Anolis sagrei: one gene and its partners. The protein of the gene in region 3 purifies or fractionates together with the protein of the main gene of each other region. This does not show direct contact. Links are inferred from orthologs where the notes say so. Each region holds a gene or a part of one and is shown on either strand. Other genes may lie near its edges.

What was found.
Region 1: the proteins of SNX4 (region 3) and SNX30 purify together in Homo sapiens (co-immunoprecipitation; 4 studies listed by BioGRID and IntAct, counting the BioPlex papers as one, with this or other methods). This does not show direct contact. The link is inferred for Anolis sagrei from reciprocal best matches to the Homo sapiens genes SNX4 and SNX30.
Region 2: the proteins of SNX4 (region 3) and SNX7 purify together in Homo sapiens (affinity purification with mass spectrometry; 3 studies listed by BioGRID and IntAct, counting the BioPlex papers as one, with this or other methods). This does not show direct contact. The link is inferred for Anolis sagrei from reciprocal best matches to the Homo sapiens genes SNX4 and SNX7.

Annotation. Positions count from the first base shown.
Region 1 is NC_090022.1:207,183,461-207,191,307, reverse strand, and holds the start of SNX30 (sorting nexin-30), read right to left. Parts: upstream 3,009-7,847; 5' UTR 2,769-3,008; coding exon 2,598-2,768; intron 1-2,597. UniProt on the Homo sapiens protein: Involved in the regulation of endocytosis and in several stages of intracellular trafficking. Together with SNX4, involved in autophagosome assembly.
Region 2 is NC_090024.1:149,071,983-149,079,247, reverse strand, and holds the start of SNX7 (sorting nexin-7), read right to left. Parts: upstream 3,024-7,265; 5' UTR 2,970-3,023; coding exon 2,874-2,969; intron 1-2,873. UniProt on the Homo sapiens protein: Involved in the regulation of endocytosis and in several stages of intracellular trafficking. Together with SNX4, involved in autophagosome assembly by regulating trafficking and recycling of phospholipid scramblase ATG9A.
Region 3 is NC_090021.1:218,969,996-218,977,646, reverse strand, and holds the start of SNX4 (sorting nexin-4), read right to left. Parts: upstream 3,059-7,651; 5' UTR 3,006-3,058; coding exon 2,769-3,005; intron 1-2,768. UniProt on the Homo sapiens protein: Involved in the regulation of endocytosis and in several stages of intracellular trafficking. Plays a role in recycling endocytosed transferrin receptor and prevent its degradation.

The DNA of each region.
Region 1 (7,847 bases), on a different chromosome or scaffold from region 3:
AGTGATTCCAGCCATTAAAGCCTTCAACAACACAATCTATATAAATAAAAATGTAATGTTCATTTGTAAGATTAATATAACTCCAAAACCACTAGACGAACTGACACCAATTCAGACATAATACACCTATCAGGCCAACAAGTGACCAGCACTCATAAAACACTGAAAAACACAGTGGTAGGGACTTAAAAATCCAAAAAAAACCCCAAAAAATACATTACAACACATGCACAAACACACATATATATATGCAAACACACATATGTCATGGGTGCAAATCTGGGGAGCGGCAGCTTCTGCCAACCTAGCAGTTCAAAAACATGCAAATGTGAGATCAATAAGTACCGCTCTGATGGGAAGGTAGCGCCATTCCATGCAGTCATGCCAGCCACATGACCTTGGAGGTGTCTACAGACAACTCCGGCTCTTCGGCTTAGAAATGGAAATGAGCACCACCCACCAGAGTCGGACACGACTGGACTTAATGTCAGGGGAAAACCTTTACCTTTCCCCTACACAAATATATACACACACAAAATACATATGCACAGACTGGGCCACAGCAACGTGTGGCAGGGGACAGCTAGTAAATAAATAAATTCATGCATCTTGAATGATGTTTTTACTGGGTTGTTGTAGGTTTTTCGGACTATATGGCCATGTTCTAGAAGCATTCTCTCCTGACATTTCGCCTGCATCTATGGCAAGCATCCTCAGAGGTTGTGAAATGTTTTTACTGTTTTAATACTTTTATATTTGTACTAGCTGCACCTGCCATGCGTTGCTGTGGCCAACCTACCCTCCCTCTTTCTCTCCTTCCTTCCCTCTTTCCTTCCTCCTCTTTTTCTTTCCCTTCATCTTTCTTCCTTCTCTGTTTCTTTCCTCCCTTTCTTTGCTCTTTGGTTCCACCCTTCCTTGTCTCCTTCCTTCCCTCCCTCTTTCATTCCTTCTCTCCTTTCTTCCCTTTCTCTTTCCTTCCTTCTTTCACTTTATTTCCTTTTCTCCTTCCTTCTCTACCTTCCTTTCTTGCCTTCCTTCTCTCCTTTCCTTCTTCTTTCCCTCTTTCTCTCCTTCCTTCCCCCTTTCTGTGTATATGTGTTTTGTGTGTGTACATATGCATATATGTATGTGTATATTTGTGTATATGTGTATATATGTGTGTTTGTGTATATATGTGGTTTTGCGCATATGTTGTAATGTATTTTTTATTTTTTTGGCTTTTTAAGCCTCTTCTGCTGTGTTTTTCAGTTTTTTTATGAGTGATGGTCACTCATTGGCCTAAGGCAGCGTTTCTCAACCTGGGGGTCGGGACCCCTGGGGGGGGGGGTCACGAGGGATTGTCCGAGGAGTCGCCAAAGACCCATCGGAAAGGTGGAAGGTGAACTACATCTCCCCTAAATCACTGTCAATTCATCCCAAATCACTCCAATAAGTTCTGTTGGTGACGGGGGTTCTGTGTTGGAAGTTTGGCCCACTTCTATCATTGGTGGGGTCAAGGGACTATAGGTGAACTATAAAACCCAGCAACTACAACTCCCAAATGCAAAGTTCTATTTTCCCCAAACTCCACCAGTGTTCACATTTGGGCGTATTGAGTATTCGTGTCAAGTTTGGTCCAGATCTATGATTGTTTGAGTCCACAATGCTCTCTGGATGTAGGTGAACTACAACTCCAAAACTCAAGGTCAATGTCCACCAACACTTTCAATATTTTATGTTGGTCATGGGAGTTCTGTGTGCCAAGTTTGGTTCAATTCCATCGTTGGTAGAGTTCTGAATGCTCTTTAATTGAAGGTGAACTATAAATCCCAGCAACTACAACTGCCAAATGACAAAATCAATCCCCCCACCGCACCCCACCAGTATTCAAATGTGGGCGTATCGGGTATTTGTGCCAAATTTGGTCCACTGAATTAAAATACATCTTACATATTACTTATTTACATTATGATTCCTAGCAGTAGGAAAATTGCAGTTATGAAGTAGCAATAAAAATAATTTCATGGTTGGGAGTCAGCACAACATATAGAACTGTATTAAGGGGTCGTGGCATCAGAAAGGTTGAGAACCACTGGCCTAAGGTGTCTTGTGTCCAAATTTGGTGTCAAGTCGTCCAGTGGTTTTTGAGTTATGTTAATCCCACAAATGAACATTACCTTTTTATTTATATAGGTATTTTAAGTTGCATAGCAATCGTTTTAATTGTGAACCGCTTGGAGTCTCCGTATGGGGAGAGAAAAAGCGGGATTTAAATAAACATAATAACAATAATAATAGCAACAACAACCTCGGCCCTTCAGGTGTTTTGGACTTGAACTCCCACAATTCTGTGTATATGTGTTTTGTGTGTGTATATATTTGTGTATATGTGTATATATGTGTGTTTGTATAAATGTGATTTTGTGTTGTCCAAAACACCTGGAGGGCCGAGGTTTGCCAATGCCTGGCGTAGATCCCCCCCCCCCCCCCCAGAAGGCAAGGAACATCCCAAGATGGTCCAAGAAGCAACGGGGGAAGGGGGCGCCTCTTGCCCCTCCCTTCCCAGAGGAAAGCCCCCTCCTCCTCCCCCCTCCCTCCTGAAGCGCGCGCGCCCCCACCTTGTCGGCCAGGCTCCTCGGGAGCTGCAGCTCGGGGCTGGGCGTGAGGTCCCCCCCGGCCTCCTCGCTGCTGGAGGCGGCCAGCGGGTGCGGCATGTCCCGCAGCGACCTGGGTCCCGAGGAAGGCAGCGCCTTGGGAGTCCCCGCCCCGCCGCCCCCGGCTGCAGACATCGCGGGGAGGCGGAGCGGACGCGGGGCCCAAGCTTCCCCGAGGCCGAGCTGGGCAGCAGGAGGCAGGCAACGACTCCCAGAGGCAGGCGGGCGGGCGGAGAGCGAGAGCGCCTTGCCAAACACAGAGAGAGGGGGAGAGAGAGAGAGAGAGAAGGAAAGGCCCGCCCGCCTGACAGGAAAGCTGCTCGAGACAACGTAGCAGCGCTTTCACCCGGAGAGAGTACTGCGGCGGGGCCCCGCCCACTCTGGCTATCGCGGGCGCCTATAGGCCGAGGGGGCTGTGATTGACACACGCTCTCTCGCGTCGCCCCACCCCCTTCCTTGGCCCTCTGGGTTGAATTTGTAGTCTCTTAATGGAAGATGTCCGTTAAAAGGGGAGGGGGGAGGAGGGAGGAGTGGAAACACTCCCATCACCACAACAACAACACCTTTTTCTCTCCCTTCCTCCTTCCCACACACACACAGTCACGCCCCGTTTACCATGACGTGTGTCTTTCTGCCTGCGTTGGTCCCTTCAAGCTGCCTGACCACTCTTGAATGGTCCCCTCTTGTGAGGGAAATGAAAAAGGTTTCTGAGGGAAACTCGAAGATATGTTTCGTTAAAACAACAGCAACCCCTTCTTCCCCTGCTCATCTACACACGCATTTGCTAAAGACACTCCTTGTTGCTACGAATTGTCCCTGTTGTGAGGAAGATTAAGGTTTTTGAGGCATTTCTGAGGAATATCTCCAATTAAAATAACAGCAACACTTTCCCCCCTCAACTACTCACACAAGGCACACCCCATTTGCCAAAGACACTGTTTACTTGTGTGTGTCTACTTCTGGGGAAGAAGCCATGAATTGCACCAGTTGTGAGGGAAATAAAGATTTCTGAGGGTCCTTCCACACAGATCTCTATCCCAGAATATCAAGGCAGAAAATCCCACAATATCTGCTTTGGGCTGGGTTATCTGAGGGCCCTTCCATACAGCCCAGTATCCCAGGATATCAAGGCAGAAAATCCCACAATATCTGCTTTGAACTGGTTTATCTAAGGGCCCTTCCATACAGCCCAGTATCCCAGGATATCAAGGCAAAAAATCCTCGTGGGCCATTCAGTACAACCCCCTGCCAAGAAGCAGGAACATCACATTCAAAGCACCCCTGACAGATGGCCACCCAGCCTCTGCTTAAAACCTCCAAAGGAGGAGTCTCCACCACACTTCGTGGCAGATAGTTCCACTGCTAAACAGCTCTTACAGTCAGGAAGTTCTTCCTCATGTTCAGGTGGAATTTCCTTTCCTGTAGTTTGAAGCCATTGCTCCATGTCCTAGGACCCTTCCACACAGCCCTATATCCCAGAATATCAAGGCAGAAAATCCCACAATATCTGTTTTGAACTGGGTTATCTGAATCTACACTCTGGCCCCTTCCACACAGCTGAATAAAATCCCACATACGGTAGTGTTATACGGCAGTGTGGACTCAGATAACCCAGTTCAAAGCAGATATTGTGGGGTTTTCTGCCTTGATATTCTGGGTTATATGGATGTGTGGAAGGGCCCTCTGATAATGTAGGATTTTGTGCCTTGATATTCTGGAATATAGGGCTGTGTGAAAGGGACCCTAGTCGCCAGGGCAGCAGAAGTTTTGTATATTTTAAGTTGTATTGTAATGCTTTTAACAGTGAGCTGCTTTGAGTCTCCATAAGATAAAAAGTGGGATATAAATAAACATAATAAACAATAAATAGTTATGTATTATGTTTGTAACAAAATATACAACTATTAATTATGTCACAAAAAACAATTATTCCCTAAATATTAGAAGGTGCCTCTATATCTGCCACTTAGCATCAACATAAGTCTCAGCTTGCTGTATGCATAACTGCAAAATCCATCAGTCAATGGCTGCCCCAAAAATATTTTAAATGCATACAGGCTTATATATACATGCATGTGCATATGTTTATTCTTACTGGTTAAATCACTCTCTCCCCCTTTACATACACATCTAATTCATCAGAACAGAGAATATCCAGCACCTTTCCTATCTGTTGATAATGCATAATTTCCATCAGATCATAGCAAAATCTCTAGGAGTGCATATACACTGCATAGTTAATGCAGTTTGACACCATTTTAACTACCATAGCTCAATGCTATGAACTCCTAGAATTTGTAGTTTGGTGAAGCATCAATACTCTGGCAGCAAACATTTGTAAAACTACAACTCTCATGATTCCATAGCATGGTGCCACGGCAGTTAAAGTGATGTCAAATTTCATTGATTTTAATGGGCAGATACAGCCAATGATCCACCAACTGTAATTTAGTTCTCACTGTAAAATAAGCAGCTCCGTGTGTGTGTGTTTCGGTTTGCTAATCTTTTCTGTCAGTCATTTGATTAAAATTATCTTTTCTGGGGTTTGCTCCAATACATGATGGTCTGATCTTCAAGTCTGATGCTAACTGCTTCAGAAAAAGAACCTCTGTTTACTTGACTGCAAATACCAAGAAACAGTTAACAGTATGCTCTGGGATTTTCATGCAAATTAACATCTGATGAAGGTTTTTGGAAATGATAGGCCAATCTTTGTGTTGCCAAGGTCTTGCCTATAAATTTAGATTTGATCAGACAATTATTATGGTGTCAAGTGCAGTCAGCCCTCCAGAAAACTGTTGTTCTCTTTGGAAGCCTTCTCCTCCCTGCCCTAGCACCAGAAGCGGTTTGAGATTTCCCTCCTGAAGATTTCCTTGGGAGGGATGACCAGATCACACCCACAGTACACCCACTAATACATCATTCTCACAATGAAATGAGATGTCTGCACTCAAGCCAACTAATGATTCATAGAGGGAGTTTTCTATCATGAAAAAAAATCACATTTTCAATAACTTTTGCAGTCTAATAGCATTTGGAAAACCATGACATCATGTGATAAATCTGAGATAAAGGCAGAATAAAATCACTAATATGAGGATATAGCAGCATGGTGTAATAAGGATTCAAGAGAACCTTGATCTCAAAGCCCAGAGAGACTCATATGGAACAATGTGGCCTCCAAGTATGATGTATTTATTTATTTTGTGTCAAAAGCATTGCATACATAAGTATAATAACTGATAAAAATATAAGGAGCACAAGTGGCGAAATAATTTTTGACCAAAACCAAGCACCAGCAATCCACATGTTATTGTGTGCAGCTACTTCATGCTTGGTGTTCATGCAGTGTTTCCTAAATGTTAGTTTTCAATCTAAGGTGATGCCGAGATATTTAGGATGGAAACAGTGTTAGAGCTCTTGACCTTCCCAGGTAACTTTCGATTTCCTTTTGGATTCATGGTTAAGTCCAAGTATGATACATAGATCGCTTTAGAGATTCAATGAACACTTTCAATGTTCACTAGAAACATAAGTAGCCAATGGTATGGTTATAAAAAGGAAACCAACCACATTCAGTAATCAGGCTATAGGTATTTGGACCTAATGAATTTTCTGAACACTTGTCATATTAAGCACAATATAATAATCTAAATAAGATATAACTAAAATGTGTCACTTTGACCATATTTATTTAATGGATGCTGCTTTAAATGGCATGAATGCTGTTCTAGCTACCACAACGTGAGATCTCGGGGCCAGGGTTCAATCCAAGAGCGCATCCATGCTGTGAATCATATCTTTAGAAGTACAACCCCATCTAGCATGGTCTGAAACCTTGTTTCCTGATCTGTCTTATGTACTGACCAGAAACACTTTCGTCTTTATGTCCCTCCCCCTGTGCCATGTCCCTGTCCCCATCAGATGGGGAAATAGGTTAAAAAGGCAGGTGGCTCTATTGGAGCCATACGAAAAATACTTACCCAAGCATGCTGGCCGAGGAAGCATCTTGCCATGCTTCGTTGGCACTTCAAGCATCAATGGAGTGGGGTCTGCTGAGCATCATGTGATGGCCCCATCCCCAAAGTGCTGCAAAGGGGCAATTTGCCCCAGTGTGATGAGGTGGTAAGTTTCAGTTTATTTCCTCTACTCCATTACTGATGAAAACCACCAGTTTACAACTGTAACAGCTTCCTTGGATTTAGGTAGAAAGATGTTACAGAATAAGGTGTCACAAGGAGTGCATCTACAATGTAGGATTAAAGCAGTTTGACATGACTTTAACTGCCATGGCTAAATGCTAAGGAATCGTGGGAGTTGTAGTTTGGTGAGACATCACTACTCTTTGGCAAAGGCAAAAGAACTTCTATAATCACAATTGCCTTTTTTTTTTCCGTGTCAGGAGGAACTTGAGAAACTGCAAGTCGCTTCTGGTGTGAGAAAACTGGCCGTCTGCAAGGAAGTTGCCCAGGGGACACGCAGATATTTTGATGTTTTACCATCCTTATGTGAGGCTTCTCTTATGTCCCCGCATGGGGAGCTGGAGCTGACAGAGGGAGCTCAACCCGCTCGCCACAGACTCGAATTGCTGAACTGTCAGTCAGCAGTCCTGCAGGCACAAGGGTTTAACCCATTGCACCACCAGGGGCTCCAGTTCCCATGATTTCATAGCATAGCATTGAGCCATTGCAGATAATAATAATAATAATAATAATAATAATAATAATAATCCAAGATCTATAAATTTAGACACCGATCTATGTGGGAGGATTGTGTTAAATACAGATCTAAAGTCTGCAAATGGTATCCTCGCATAGTTCCCCCATCGTTCCAGGTGGGAATTAATCATGGGGAGGAACTACCAGCAGGATAAATACAGCTTCAATGCAGGTTTGCCATCTCCTGCAATAAAATCCACAGATGTAAAATTGGGAAAAATTGCTACCCCAATATGTCTCCTATTTGAAGAAACTGGCATTAGCTGACCTATATATCTATTACCCAGGTACTAACAGTTAAAAATGTAGCATTTGTAAACATTGGTGCATACTGCTATCTTCTTTCTTGGTGATACATTTTCTCTCTCTTTCTCAATATATGTATGTGACCACCCTGATGCTCACTAACCTGAAAGTAACTGAATGTAGCAGTTATTTGTTTCTAAATATGTAGGTATCGATTTTTAGTAGTGATGACAACACTTTTAGGTGTAGA
Region 2 (7,265 bases), on a different chromosome or scaffold from region 3:
GTGATCTTTTAAAGCCATGGCTTTTGGCCAGCCTGCTCATATTGAGCTTGTGGACAGAGGTGGATGTCTAACAATGCTCACAGACTGTGGTGCAAACTTCTGCTCTCCAGGGTTGTATCCCAGCCAGGGAAAGCTGTACACCAAGCTGGTGCGTCCGCCCTCAGCCATGAGCACACTACAAATAGAATCATCGAGTTGGAAGAGACTTCATGGGTCATCCAGTCCCTTGCCAAGAAGCAGGACAATCGCATTCAAAGCCCCCCCCCCCCCCCAATAGATAGCCATCCAGCCTCTGTTTAAAAGCCCCCAAAGAAGGAGCCTCCACCAGACTTCGGGGCAAAGAGTTCCACTGCTGAACAGCTCTCACAGTCAGGAAGATCTTCCTAATGTTCAGGTGGAATCTGCTTTCCTGTCATTTGAAGCCATTGTTCTGTGTCCCAGTCTCCAGGGCAGCAGAAGACAAGCTTTCTCTCTCCACCCTATGACCTCCTCTCACATATTATCTCTCATCATGTCTCCTCTCAGTCTTCTCTTCTGCAGGCTAAATATGCCCAGCTCTTTAAGTCGCTCCTCATAGGGCTTGTTCTCCAGACCCTTGATCAATTTAGTCGCCCTCCTCTGGACACATTCCAGCTTGTTAATATCTCTCATCAATTGTGATGCCCAGAATTGGACACAGTATTCCAGGTGTAGTAAACCATTATTTTACTGACACAAAAATATAGTATGACACAACAAACGAGATATATATGCTGGATTTCGAGATCTCAGTTGGCATTTGGAAACAATAAACATTGACAAAATCATGATCTGTCAACTGCAAAAGGCCACCTTACTTGGATCTGTGCATATCATTTGAAAATATATCACACAGTCCGAAATGCTTGGGAAGTGTTCAGCTTGTTATTTTGTGATACGAAAGTAAGTCATTATTATTATTATTACTAGCTGTCCCCTGCCACGCGTTGCCGTGGCCCAGTTTGATGATCTGGAAAATAAAGTAATGAGAAAGTGTTGGATTCTAATATATGTAATTTCTATATGCTTGTGAGTAAACAGTATTTCTTGTTGTTTCTTTGTCAGTGTTGATGTGAAGATTGTCTGGTTTGCCTACTCTGGAACATGCAACATATCATTGTCCTTCTTTAGGGGTCCCTTTCAAATCTATGATACTATATCTGTGTGTGTGTGTGTGTGTGAATCATATATATCTATGTATATGTATGGCTGGATGGCTGTCAGGAGTGCTTTGATTATGTCTTCTTGCCCTGGTGAAGGGAGTTGGACTGGATGGCCTTAAGTATTTTCTGTTGGTCATGGAGGTTCTGTGTGGGAAGTTTGCCACAATTCGGTCGTTGGTGGGGTTCAGAATGCTCTTTGATTGTAGGTGAACTATAAATCCCAGTAACTACAACTCCCAAATATCAAGGTCTATTTCCCCCAAACTTCATCTGTGTTCATATTTGGACATATAGAACATTCATGCCCAGTTTGGTCCAGACCCGTCATTGTTTGAGTCCAAAGTGTTCTCTGGATGTAGGTGAACTACAACTCTCAAACTCAAGGTCAATGCCCACCAAAACTTTCTAGTGTTTTCTGTTGGTCTTGGAAGTCCTGTGTGCCAAGTTTGGTTCAATTCCATCGTTAGTGGAGTTCAGAATGCCCTTTGATTGTAGGTGAACTATAAATCCCAGCAAATACAACTCCCAAATGACAAAATCATAAGTTTTTGAGTGATGGTCACTCCTTGTATTGTGAGATGTTTTGTTGCAAAATTAGGTGTGATTTCGTTCATTGTTTTTTGTTTTGTTTTTAAGGTACTCATTATGCACAGAGCATTTATATATATATAGATTATTATTTGAAACACAACAAGATGAGTCCACAGCAGACACTCTGTTGGCTGTTGCATTGGATCACACGTCGGACACTTCCCAAGTGTCTAGGACTGTGTGATGTATTGGTGAATAATGTGTGCAGATCCCACTAAGGTGGCCTTTTGCAGCTGGCAGCTGGTAATTTTGTCAGTGCCTATTGTGCTTAAGTGCAAGCCAAGGTCTTTAGGCAGTGCACCCAGTGTGCTGATCACCACTGGGACCACCTTTGCTGGCTTGTGCCAGAGTCATCGTCATCGTTGTCATCATCATCATCATCATCAGATGACTGGAGGCCCACACACACACACACACAAGAAAACCCTATGGGCACTTTAATAAGCTTGGAAGGGGCAAGCTTATTTTCTGCTGCTGTTGAAACTAGGGAAGGGAGGAATTGATTCACACTGCAGGGAAAGAGATTCTCCCTAAACGTTGGGAAGGACTTCCGCATGGAGGTGTTTGACAGTGGAATGCACTGCCTTTGAACCTGTCTTCGGCTGTTTTGAAAAGCAGGTTGTGTGGGGCGTGCTTTGGTGGTGTCTTCCTGCCTGGCAGAATGGGGGTGGACCGGCCTTTCTCTTGCGGTCTCTTCCAAGTTGAGGAGTCTATGAAAGACTTGCCCTAAATCGACAGGCGAGGGAAAGCCACAGACAGAGAAAAGCAACGAGGAAGGCGTGCCGAGGCAGGCGGATTTTGAAGCGCTTGGGAAACTTCTGTCCCGCAGACGGAGGGGGAACTCTAGGTTTGTTTGTGTGTTTTCGTGTCCAGAGGAAGCTTAAGGCACAGGGGTGCGGGATCTTCAAGGAGGAGCTCCTTGGCGATGCTGGGAACGAGGGCAGAGCCATTTCGCCCCCATGGCTAGGCGTGGAAAAGCTCCACGGGCGGAGAGACTCTCCTGCTTCCCCGTAGGGCACTCCAGGCGCCTGTTTCTTCCCAAACGGGAGTGGAAAGCCCACGCAGACCTGCGACCCCCTTTCTCATTCCCCTAGTGAATACCTTGCTGAATACTTCCAGGTCCTCGTCGTCGTCCAAGTCCAGGAGCAGCGGGGCAGCCGAGTCCCCCGCCACGTCGCCGCCGCCCTCGGGCTCCATCGCCTTCCCCTCGCTGGATCTCCCTCTTGGAGGAGGAGGAGGAGGAGGAGGGCGATCCCCGGTTGGAGCCCCTCCTCTCGCCTTGGCTATTGGTCGCCTCCTCGCTTCGCCTTCCCTTTCCTGCGCGGCTGGGAAGGAAAGAAGCGAGGGAAGGAGGGGAAAGAGCCAGGAATGGCGGGGGAGGGAGGGAGGGAAGGAAGAGGGGATGGAGTCCGCGAAACCGCCCCCAATTCCCACTTTGGAGGGTCGCTTTGGAAAGCGGGGGCGGGGGGAGAGATCCAGACTTGACGAGTTGGTCCCAGCCTACTCTTCTCTAGTTTAGGAGGAGCAATCCTGCTTAATGCTTTGCAATCTTACTTTCCTAGCTTACTTTAAAACGCCTCTCTTTCTTCTTTCCAGCTGCCTCATTGGCTTTCTTCAGACTGAAATGAAAGTAGAACTCATCCCTCTGTATCAGTGGTTTCCAACCTTTTTTTTTGACCAGGAACCACTTTGATCAGGAACTACTTTGATCAGGGACCAGAGAGCACATTGACCAGGGACCACTTTGACCAGGGACCACTTTGACCTTTGACCAGGGACCACTTAGACCAGGGACCACTTTGACCAGGAACCACTTTGAAGCAGGGGCCATTTTGACCAGGGATCACTTTGACCAAAGACCACTCTGACCAGGGACCACTTTGACCAGGAGCCATTTTAACCAGGAACCACTTTGACCAGGAACCATTGTAACGAGGGACCACTATGACCAGGGACCACTACTTGGACCAGGGACCACTTTGACCAAGGACCATTTTGACCAGGGATCACTTTGACCAAGGACCACTCTGATCAGGGACCACTTTGACCAGGAACCATTTTAACCAGGGACCACTATGACCAGGGACCACTACTTGGACCAGGGACCACTATGACCAGGGACCACTACTTGGACCAGGGACCACTTTGACCAGGGACCATTTTGACCAGGGATTACTTTGGCCAGGGACCGCCCTCCAACATTAGTACCAAAAGACTGAATCAGTTTTTGGTCAACTTTGTGGGATTATTTGAGGCACTAATTCAGAAAATTGTATTGGATAGACCACATCAGCTCTAATTTCTGATACAGAATATATGCTATCCAGTAGTTGCCATCTGCTCACCCACAGAAAACCATATTTAATAATCTAGATTTGTTGTGGTCCATCCAATGCAATTTTCTGAATCAGCACCCAAAATAACCCCACAAACCTTCCCAATAAACAACCCAAGGAAATGTCCTGAAATTATTCCATGCAAAATCCAACTTTTCTGTAAGGTAGATATTAGAAGGTAAAGGTAAAAGTTTCCCCATGACATTAAGTCCAGTCATATCCAACTCTGGGGGTTGGTGCTCACTTCAATTCTAAGCTGAAGAGCTGGCATTGTCCGTAGATGCCTCCAAGGTCATGTGGCCAGCATGACTGCATGGAGCACTGTTACCTTCCCGCCAGAGCGGTACCTATTGATCTACTCACATTTGCATGTTTTCTAGGTTGGCAGAAACCAGGGCTAACAGTGGGAGCTCACACCGCTCCCCGGATTCGAACCTGCGACCTTTCGATAAGCAAGTTCAGCAGCTCAGCAGTTTAACCCACTGCACCACCGGAGGCTCCAATGATTAGATTTTTTATTCTGCTACATGAAAGTGACACTTTTTTTTTGCTCAGTTTCTTCTATGTACTAAATTGGAGATTAGTCTTCCTGACAGAAGCACGGCTTTACCCAACCAAAGTGCATGGCTGACACAGGAATGTGTGTATCTCCATTTTTCCAAGTGATTAGCTGGGAACTAAAGGATGCAACATTGCATTTATAGAGTGCCAATGGCAACATTTTTAAAACCCTTGCATAGCTCAGGCCTCAGTTGATGCTATCTGCAGTATTTCTGAATAAATGAAGCACTCACCTCTAGGATTTAAGGATGGCTGACACACATTTTCAAGCTTTTTATTTTTTTGGAATGCCTCACAATCAGTGAAACCACTTCTCCAGCTGCCAATGAAGGATCTATGTACTATCTCTTGATCATTGTTTTGAGGGTAGCATTTGTCCCCAAATATAAATCCACCACCAGGTATGATAAGCACAGTGTGAGGATCTTCTTGGTGGCTGAAACTCTCTTTGTAGGAAGGATAGAGCGTGTCTTTCTGCTTCCTCTTTTTCTGCCATTAGATTTTTTTAAAATCCCAGTAGTGTCTTGTGACTGTGTCCTTATATACTTTCAAGTCATCTGTCAACTCATGGTGACTCTATGGATTTTCTTAGGCAAGGGATACCCAGTGGTAGTTTTGCTACTACCTTCCTCTGAAATATAGCCAGCAACATAAAATCCATAGAATAACACATAATTGAAAGCCTTTCCTGCCAATAGTATTCATTGGCAGGAAAGGCATTCAATTATCTGTTATTCTATGGATTTTATTATTTTACTCTATCTATCTAGACACAATAAAACTGAAAATATGCATGTGTGTATGTGACTGGGGTGTCCCCTTACACAGACAAGCTCCCACCTCCACAAACAGCTATTGCTGTCACTATACAGGAGATACCAATAGGCCTTCCTCCAATAACATTACAGGTTACAACGAGTACCATGAAAATGTGCAAGAGCCCTGCCAATGTCCTTCACCAAAACCACACTTCCCACCACCCAAGTAAAAGCTTTCATTCAGGGACTAATTCACCCTAGTTTTGATGTGTTTCCTCCACCACAGGCATCCTAGTGTTTCTTACTCTCACCAATGGTGTGAAATTTGCTTAACCCCACCCACTGCCTCTCCCTTAACCCTTTCCTATTCTTTTCTATGGCACACAGAAAACAGAGGAATCGATCAGCAACTGAACATACTAGAGAGGTTTGGGGAGAATGCACTATGACTTATAGGAATTGTAGGTACTGGGATGCATAGTTCACCTGCAATCTAAGAACTGCAGTCTGAACCCTACCAACGATAGAACTGGAACAAACTTGGCACACAGAACCCCCATGATCAATAAAAAACACTGGAGGTCTTTGGAGGGAGTTCTGGGAGTTGTAGTTCACTTACATCCAGAGTGCACTATAAACTCAAACACATATAGATCTGAGCCAAACTTGGCATGCATACCTGATATGCCCAAATTTGAATACTGGTGAGTTTTGAGGGGAACTGGCCTGGACTGTTTAGAGTTGTAGGTACTGGGGTTTATAGTTCACCTGCAATCTATGAGCACTCTGAACTCCACCAAAATGGAATTGGATTAAACTTGGCGCATAGAGCCCCAATGACCAGCAAACATACTGGAGGTCTTGGGGGAAAATTCACCTTGATTTGGGGGAGTTGAAGTTCACCTACATCCAGAGAGCACTGTGAACTCAAACACTGGTGGATCTGGACCAACCTTGGCACACATACCTCATATGCCGAAATTTGATTACTGGAGGGGTTTAGGGGCGGGGGGAACTAACCTTCCTTTCTGGAAGTAGTAGTTCACCCACAACCAGAGAAACTGTGACCTCCGCCAATGACTAATCTGGACCAAACTTGGCCAGACCTACTGGGAGGGTTTAAGGGGACTGACTCACCATAGTGGGAGTTGTAGTTTACCCTGCAGTGAGAGAACACACTGAACCCCCAGCTGACATCAGATCTGGAACAAACTTGGCACGCAGATTCAACATGGCCAACTGTTCATACAGGCAGGGTTAGGGTGTGATTGACCTTGGATCTGGGAGTTGTAGTTCACCCTAATCCAGAGAGCACTGAACCCAGCCAATGTTGGATCTCGACCAAATTTGGCACACAGACCCAACATGGCTAACTATGAATACTGTTGGAGTTTGGGAAGGATAGACCCATGATTTTGGGAATTGTAGTTCACCCACTTATGAATTTTCTAATGGGAGCATTCATAACAAACAAAAGCGGCCTTACTGGTACATTATTTAAACTGTTATGTTTATTCATATCATGATCTGATCACCATGCTCAATATATCCCATATGCATGGGAGTATTGGGGTAATGATACAAAAGGTTTGCTAGGGTAGACCCTCTTTCACTCAGACTCAGCCCCCCGAATCAAACTCACTCTCCCCCCCCCCCCCCAATCAAAATCCTGGCTACGGGCCTGCAAAGTGATATTACCTAAAACCCCAAAACAAACAATACTTTTTTGAATAACTGGAGCATTGCCAGGTCCCCAAGCTAGTATATAATCTCTTCAATATTAAGTGAGTCAGAAGTCAGTTGGGTTTAAAACAGCTGAGAAAGAAAGGGAAATGGAA
Region 3 (7,651 bases):
ATTTTTACTATGCTGTATTTTAACCTATATTTGACCGGGCTTGTCCCCATGTAAGTTGCCCTGAGTCCCTTCAGGAAGATGGTGGTGGGATGCAAAAATATAGTTGTTGTTGTTATTATTATTATTTCTTCTGAAGAGTTTAGGGTACTACATTTGGCTCTCCCTTCCCCAATGAAGTGCCAAAACATTCCTAGGAAGTACATCAGGCAGTGTGTGATTGGCACAAGCTTGTCCAATGAAATTCACAGCCCAGTGGGGACTAGAAGCTTAGAAGTAGAGTAAGCCAAGTTTCATGAAAGCTGATGTTAAATATTAAAGACTACTGTCATTGCAGGTGCCTCATGATTGCAGCACAAAGGCGGCTAAATAGCCCATTGTTGTTAAGTGGTTTTCGTACCAAGGGAAAGAGCAATGGACAAAGAAAAGAAGAGCTCCCAGCTGATGCAGCTTTCTTCTTTATCATATGCCACACTGTGCCTGCCAGAATTCCCAGTTATGGCCAACTCTCAAATAGGCTGGTTCTACACTGTAGAAATAATGCATTCTGATTCCACTTTAATGCTGTATAATCGTGAGAGATGTCGTTTGGTGAGACAACAGCACTCATTGTCTTGTAAAACAACAACTCCTAGGATTGCATAACATTGAGTCAAGGCAGTTACAAGTTGTTAAACTGCAATAATTCCTCAGTGTAGATTTACCCAAAGAAACAGGTAGCAATGCAGAGCCCTCCCAGGTGTTGCGCCTATCTTTCCCTCCAACTCGCCCCCTCCTCTATCCCCACCACTCCCAATGCCTCTCAATATGTGTACGTACCTTCAAGGTGCCTGTTGACTTATAATAATAATAACTTTATTCTTATACCCTACCACCATCTCCCCGAAGGGACTCGGGACTGCTTACATAGAGGACAAAATGCCCATAAAAACACAAATACAAAACAATCAATTCAAACAAAAACGCAGTTAAAATAAAACATAGTAAAATATAACAATCCAGATTAAACCACATTTAAATAACACATAAACTATAAAACATCAGCATTGAAACTCAGTCAAAACAAGTGCAACTGGTGGGGATGACAGATAGGGCCTTTTCAGTGATGGCCCATTGGCTGTGGAACACCATTCCTAGCGACATCAGGTCAGCCCCCTCCCTCCTCACTTTCGGAAGGAAAGTAAAATCTTGGCTCTGGGACCAGGCTTTCAAAGACTAGTGTGGTGCAATATAAATTGAATTATATGCAACTGACTATGTAATCGACCTTGGACCATGATTTTTGGATGGTGTGATTTTAATACTGAATGTAATTTTTAAATGTTTAACTTGTATCAATGTTAACTCAACTGTTTTTAAGTTTTTAAATATCTGTATATGTTGCAAGGCATTAAATAATTGCCATATGTAAGCTGCCTTGAGTTCCCTTCGGGGTAGAGAAAGGTGGGGTATGAAAAGAATAAATAAACAGCACGTTTCTGTTTTTATGATGTTATATTTTATTGTGATATGCTCTTACATTGTTTTCTTTTGATTTGATTTTATTGTGTTATGTTTTAATTCTGTGCTCTTTGGGTTTGTCCCCTTGTAAGCTGCCCCGAGTCCCTTTTGGGGAGATGGAGGCAGGGTATAAAAATTAAGCTATTAGATTATTATAAGGGTAAATAATAAATTAATAAATAAATAACAATACTCAGCAAAACCAATTGCCAGTAGTACAGCAGGTGTGATCAGTCTATAAAGGGCTGGGCATTTTATTTATTTATTTCCAACATTTCTACCCCACTCTTCTCAACCCCTGAGGGGGGACTCAGAGCCGCTTACATTGGCAACAATTTGATCCCACAACGTACAAAACAATTATAACAGATATAACAATTAAAAACAGTAAATTAAAAACAATTTAAAACATTAACATAACATACACTGTACAATAGGGCCGGTTACTGGATGAATGACAAAATATCAGGCAACCTAGGTACTGGACACTTATAAGGAGGGGCTAGGCGTCCCCAAATGCAAGCTGAAAAATCCTGGTTTTCAAATCCCTGTGAAAGGAGGACAATGTGGGAGCTTGCCTAATCTCCCTTGGGAGGGACTTCCTAAATTGGGGGGGCCACCACCCTTATGGAGCACTCCATGTATTTATAGCAGGCCTGGGCAAACTTGGGCCTTCCAGGTGTTTTGGACTCCAACTCCCACCATTCCTAACAGCCTACCGGCCTACCAAGTTTGCCGGCTATTAGGAATTGTGGGAGTTGGAGTCCAAAACACCCGGAAGGCCCAAGTTTGCCCATGCCTGATTTATAGGGTTTCCTTAGGCAAGAGACAGTCAGACACCGCCTCTGAAATACATCCAGCAGCAGAACTTGGTATTTGTGAACAGTCTCCAATCCAAATACTCAACAAAACTGACCCTGGTTATCTCCCAAGTGGTGAGATCTGGAACCACTGGGGATATTTTGGCCCTCTCTCCTCTTCCCCAATTATATTAAATGCTTGGGATTTTCAATGGTTCTCAACCTGTGGGTTCAACTCCCAGAAACCCTAATAACTAGAAAACTGGCTGGGATTTCTGGGAATTGTAGGCCAAAACACCTGGAGACCCACAGGTTGAGAACCACTGACACGAGGGATGGGCAAACTTGGGCCCTCCAGGTGTTTTGGACTACAACTCCCACAATTCCTAGCGGCAGCATCAACACCACTCCTCGCCCTTCTCCGTGGGGCTAGGCCTCCTTTCCCTCCTCCTCCTCCTCCTGGCCCCTCACCGCGTAGGCTGGTGCTGCCAGTCCCCCGGCGCTCCCGGCCGCCTTGGCGGGCCTCCCTTCGTGCCCGTCAGCGGCCTGCCTCTCTCCGGGGCCCGGGCTGGAAGGCGCCTCAGGCTCGGCGCCTCCGCCCTGGCTGCCGCTACTGCTGCTCCCGCTCTCCCCGCTGCTGCTCCCCTCGGCGCCGCTGCTGTTGCTGCCACTGCCGGGGCTCTGGGCCCCCGGATGGGGCGCCTCCATTGAGGAAGGCGGCGGGCAGGAGGAGGAGGAGGCGCCGCCAGCAAAGACCGCTCGGCCGCCGACGGCGCATGCGCAGAGCGAGCCGCGAGGAAGGGAGGGGGCGTGGCCTCGGGGAGGAGGAGAAAGAGAGGGAGGAAGGGAAGGGTGAAAGGGAGGGGTTAGGCCAATTACAGTAGTTTATCTGACTGCTTACAAAGTCACAGGAGAACACCTCAGCCTAGAGCAGTAGTTCTCATCCTGTGGGTGCCCAGATGGTTTGGCCTTCAACTCACAGAAATCCTAACAGCTGGTAAACTGGCTGGGAATCCTGGGAGTTGTAGGCCAAAACACCTGGGGACTCACAGGATGAGAACCACTGGTAGAAGGGAAAGGATGGGGAGAAGGCAGGGAAGGGAAGAAAGGTAGGATAGAGAAAAAGGGAGAATGAAAAGGGAATGAAGAGAAAGGGAAAGGAAGAGGGGAAGGATGGAAGGAAGAGAGAGGGGGAGGAAAGAAAGAAGAGAAAGGGGAAGGAAGAGAAAGAGGAGAAGGAAGGAAAAGAAAGGGGAAGGAAGAGGGGAAGGAGAGAAAAGAAAGGGGAAGAGAGGAAGGAAGAGGAGAAGAAGGGAAGGGAAGGAAGGGGAAGGATAGAAGAGATGAAGGAAGAGAAAGAGGGGAAGGAGAGAATAGAAAGGAAAGAAAAAGGGTATAAGAATGAAATTGGAAAGATCAAATGGTACAGGCAGCCTTTTGATAGACATCTGATTGTCTTGCTGTTTCTGTCCAGTGCGGCCGCACTTGAAAAATAAAGAGATTTTTGCTTCAAACCTCATGGAGACTGGCTGTCTTTTTAAGATTCACATTTAAACTATTGAAAGAGTTCCCTTCAGAAGGAAGAGGGAAGGAAGGAAGAGAAAGGAGAAGGGTGGAAAAGAAAGGAGAAGGATGGAAAAGGGGAAGGAAGAGAGGAAGGAAGAGAAGAAGAAAGGAAGAGGAAGAGGGGAAGGAGAGAAGAGAAAGGGGAAAGAAGAAGAAAAGGAAGGAAGAGAAAGGGGAAAGATGGAAGAGGGGGAGGAAGGGAGGAAGAGAAAGAGGAGAGGGGAAGGATGGAAGAGGGGAAGGAAGAAGAGAAAGGGGAAGAAGGGAAGACAAAGGGGAAGGAAGAGAAAGAAGGGAAGGATGGAAGAGAGAAGGATGGAAGAGAAAGAGAAAGAATGACAAGTCATTTATGACTTATGATTATTCTACAGTGAACCTATCACAGGGTTTTTGTTGGTAGAATTGCTTTGCCTTTGCAGTTCTTTGAGGCTGAGAGAGTATGACTTTTTTAAAAGGTGACTATGGGTTTCCATGTCCAAGCAAGGATTCAAACACTCATCTCCCTGTATCCTAGGGTGCATCTACACTAGAATCAATGTTGATTGACTCTACTTAATGCAATAGAATCCTTACAGTTTTACAAGGTCTTTGGCCTCCTCTGCCAAAGGGTGCTGCTGCCTCCCCAGACTACAACTCCCGGTATTCCATAGCATCCAGCCATGGTGGTTAATGTGGTCTCAAACTGCATTCATTTTATTGTGTAGATACACTCCTAGCCCAACCCTCAAACCACAGACATCACAAGTTTTTCTGGGGTGGACATTAAGACAAGACAAAACCAGGCAACCTGCCCGCCTTGTTCTGTATTATTCAACTCTGAGATTACCAGCTCGAAAAAGAAAAAAATCAACAACATGGGGCTCAACATACTTGCATGTGCCAGTTCAATCCCCCTTTGTACTCCCATAAATAAAGATGGGGATACCAGATTCTCTTTCACTTGGGACCCAACCATAACAATTAGTGCTTGATGGGGTATATATGATATTCACATCAGCATTTCATGTAAATCGATGATGCAGATTCAAAAAATGCACATCCTTTAAAATTCACATGTAATTGATGCAAAAGACATATCTTAATGTTCATCTAGCATAAACATCCCAAAGACCACAGTATAATGGGAAGCAGATTTTGGGCGACAGTGTGCAACCATGCATAAAATGGACTTAGGTTAATGAAACAAATCTTAAATCAATCCTACTCTAAGGGCACTTTTGCAGTTCGCATAATCAAAGGGAGATTTTGTGCCAAGAATTGTTCAGTTATAAATGCCTGGGAAACTCTTTTAATTGCAGTGAAAAGGCAAAGGTAACAATAAAATAATCTCGGAAGAAATTTGTACAAACATTGAAGACAACAGAATAGAAACCAGATACACTGAAAGCACTCTATGGGTCTGTAAAATGATCTTGGAGTTTATTTTAACTGGAGTTGTGAAAGGAAGATGGGTTCGAGAGGGCAAATGCATGCAAGCTTAGCTCAGTATGGCTGTTTTGCCTTCTTAAAACTGAGTAAACCAGCTAATTTGGAAAATCATTCAGAGCCAATGGCTGATGGTAAGGTTTAAAGGGACAATGCAAAGAAACAAAGATGTCTTAATTGCAGGGAGAACAGGTAAGAGTTTGGTCCTTCATATTTGCAGCATGAACAAAATAAAGTTTCCAAGAGAACAAAATGAAAGCACGATAACACTAACTCATCAACATGCACTTCAATGGAAGACTGATGAATGTAAAGTTACTAGATGAAACAAAAACAGGGCTCCTGTCACTTTAACTGTTGAGTAGAATGCTTTCATGAACTGCTGATTTTTTCTCTTCTATATAATGATAAAAGATACATAACTCTTATTATTTCACTTGGCAACCCAATGTGACTTTTAAGCAGTGGTAAATAAGGCTATACCTTCTGAAGATGGAACATAGCTTCATGTAACTGAACTCATTTCTTTTGATACATTGACATTGTAATGGAGTACTTTGACTGATTTCTGACTTAGAACAATGCTAAAGTGGGTCGACTGAGACTGATGTGAATATGTTCCTTTGGGATGACATTCATATTTCAAATGGTGCCTGCCGTAACTCTGTGTCTGTCTCCCTTTTTTATGCGCACCTCCAATCCCTTCACAATGCATTTCAGAGGGAACCATGCCTGTCCTGATCTTCTCTTTTGAATTTCTCTTTGCTTGTGGAACACAGTGGCAAAATGCTTGCCTTGTGAAAATCAAAGCAAACAAACCAATCCCACATGAAAAGATACATTCAAAGTATATGTATTAGCATATAATGTCTGACATTCATTGTAACCTCGTTGGTATACTTCATTCAGTAGGGCAAACCTGGAATTCACAACACAACTTGTTATCAACTAAACTGAAAGCAATTATCAAAGGTGGCCTGCCCAGCATTCATGTTTTTTCAATCATACTGAAGCTACAAAATTGTCAGAGATTGAGAGCACACAACTAGCTGCACTACAAGCAGCTTCATAGGTTGTGCTCATATCAGTTTTCACCATCACTGCATTTCTAGAAATAGCAAGTTTTAAAATGAAGCAACAAAATGTAAAGAAGAATAGGTATTTGCAAAAAGGGCAAAGATGAGTACAGCCATATTTTTAAAAAGAATCTAACTTTTTTTCTAACTGTGTTAGAAAAGGGAACATACTGAGACATTCATGGCATTTATTAAGTTCATAAGATCTTGTTTAAAAAGTCTTTTCCAAAACTCTGGCTGTTGGACACAGCTTGAGAAAAGAGCATTCAGAGTGAAGAAAATACACTGTTGTTACTGATAAATAAAATATTAACTGCTTTTAAAGGCTAATGTATGAAATTGAAATGACTACTTAAGTTGTGTTGCAGATAGATGGTGGATGGATAGATGGATATCTTTAAAAGAGCAGATGTGGAGATGTTGGGCTCTGCACATCTACTCAGAAGTAAGCTCTACTGAGTATGGAACTTACTCTTCAGTATAGGACTATACCCTAAATAACTTTTTTACAGTTTTCGTCAAGTTGAAACCATCTCATTTCTTTATATTGCAGCCATCATTTGAGAACAGCTTCCAATTAGTTACTGAATTATTTTATTGCTCTGATACAGCTGCATTGCACATACATGGAAGGTGGAGTGTTACTTTAACCGATCCCTTGTTGTCCGAGTACGATGGCCTTACAAGTGTAGGGTCTTGGCGGTGGATTCATAGGTGACTGTAGAGCCCTATTCTTGACCCACACGTTCTTCCACAGTGAGGACATCAGTTTCCAGGTAGAAGGCAGTTCCGGTAAGGGTTGGCTTGGCATGCCTTCCTCTTGGCATGCTTCTCCCTTTCGTCCTCCATTTGTGCCTCTTCAAATTCCACAGCACTGCTGGTCACAGCTGACCTCCAGCTAGCACTCAAGGGCCAGGATTTCCCAGTTCTCAGTGTCTATGCCACAGTTTTAACGGTTAGCTTTAAGCCCATCTTTAAATCTCTTCCTGTCCACCAACATTACATTTCCCATTCTTGAGTTGGGTGTATAGTAACTGCTTTGGGAGATGGTGATCTGCCATCCGGACAACATGGCCAGTCCAGCAGAGTTGATGGCAGAGGAGCATCGCTTCAGTGATAATGGTCTTTGATGCAGCTGCATTGAACATACATGAAAGATGGAGTGTTACAGCATTACTGTAAGCACTGCTGAATTTCACACACATCACTGAGGGCCCTTCTGCACAGACATGTAACCCAGAATATCTGCTTTGAACTGGGTTTTTTCTCAGTCCACCCTGCCATATA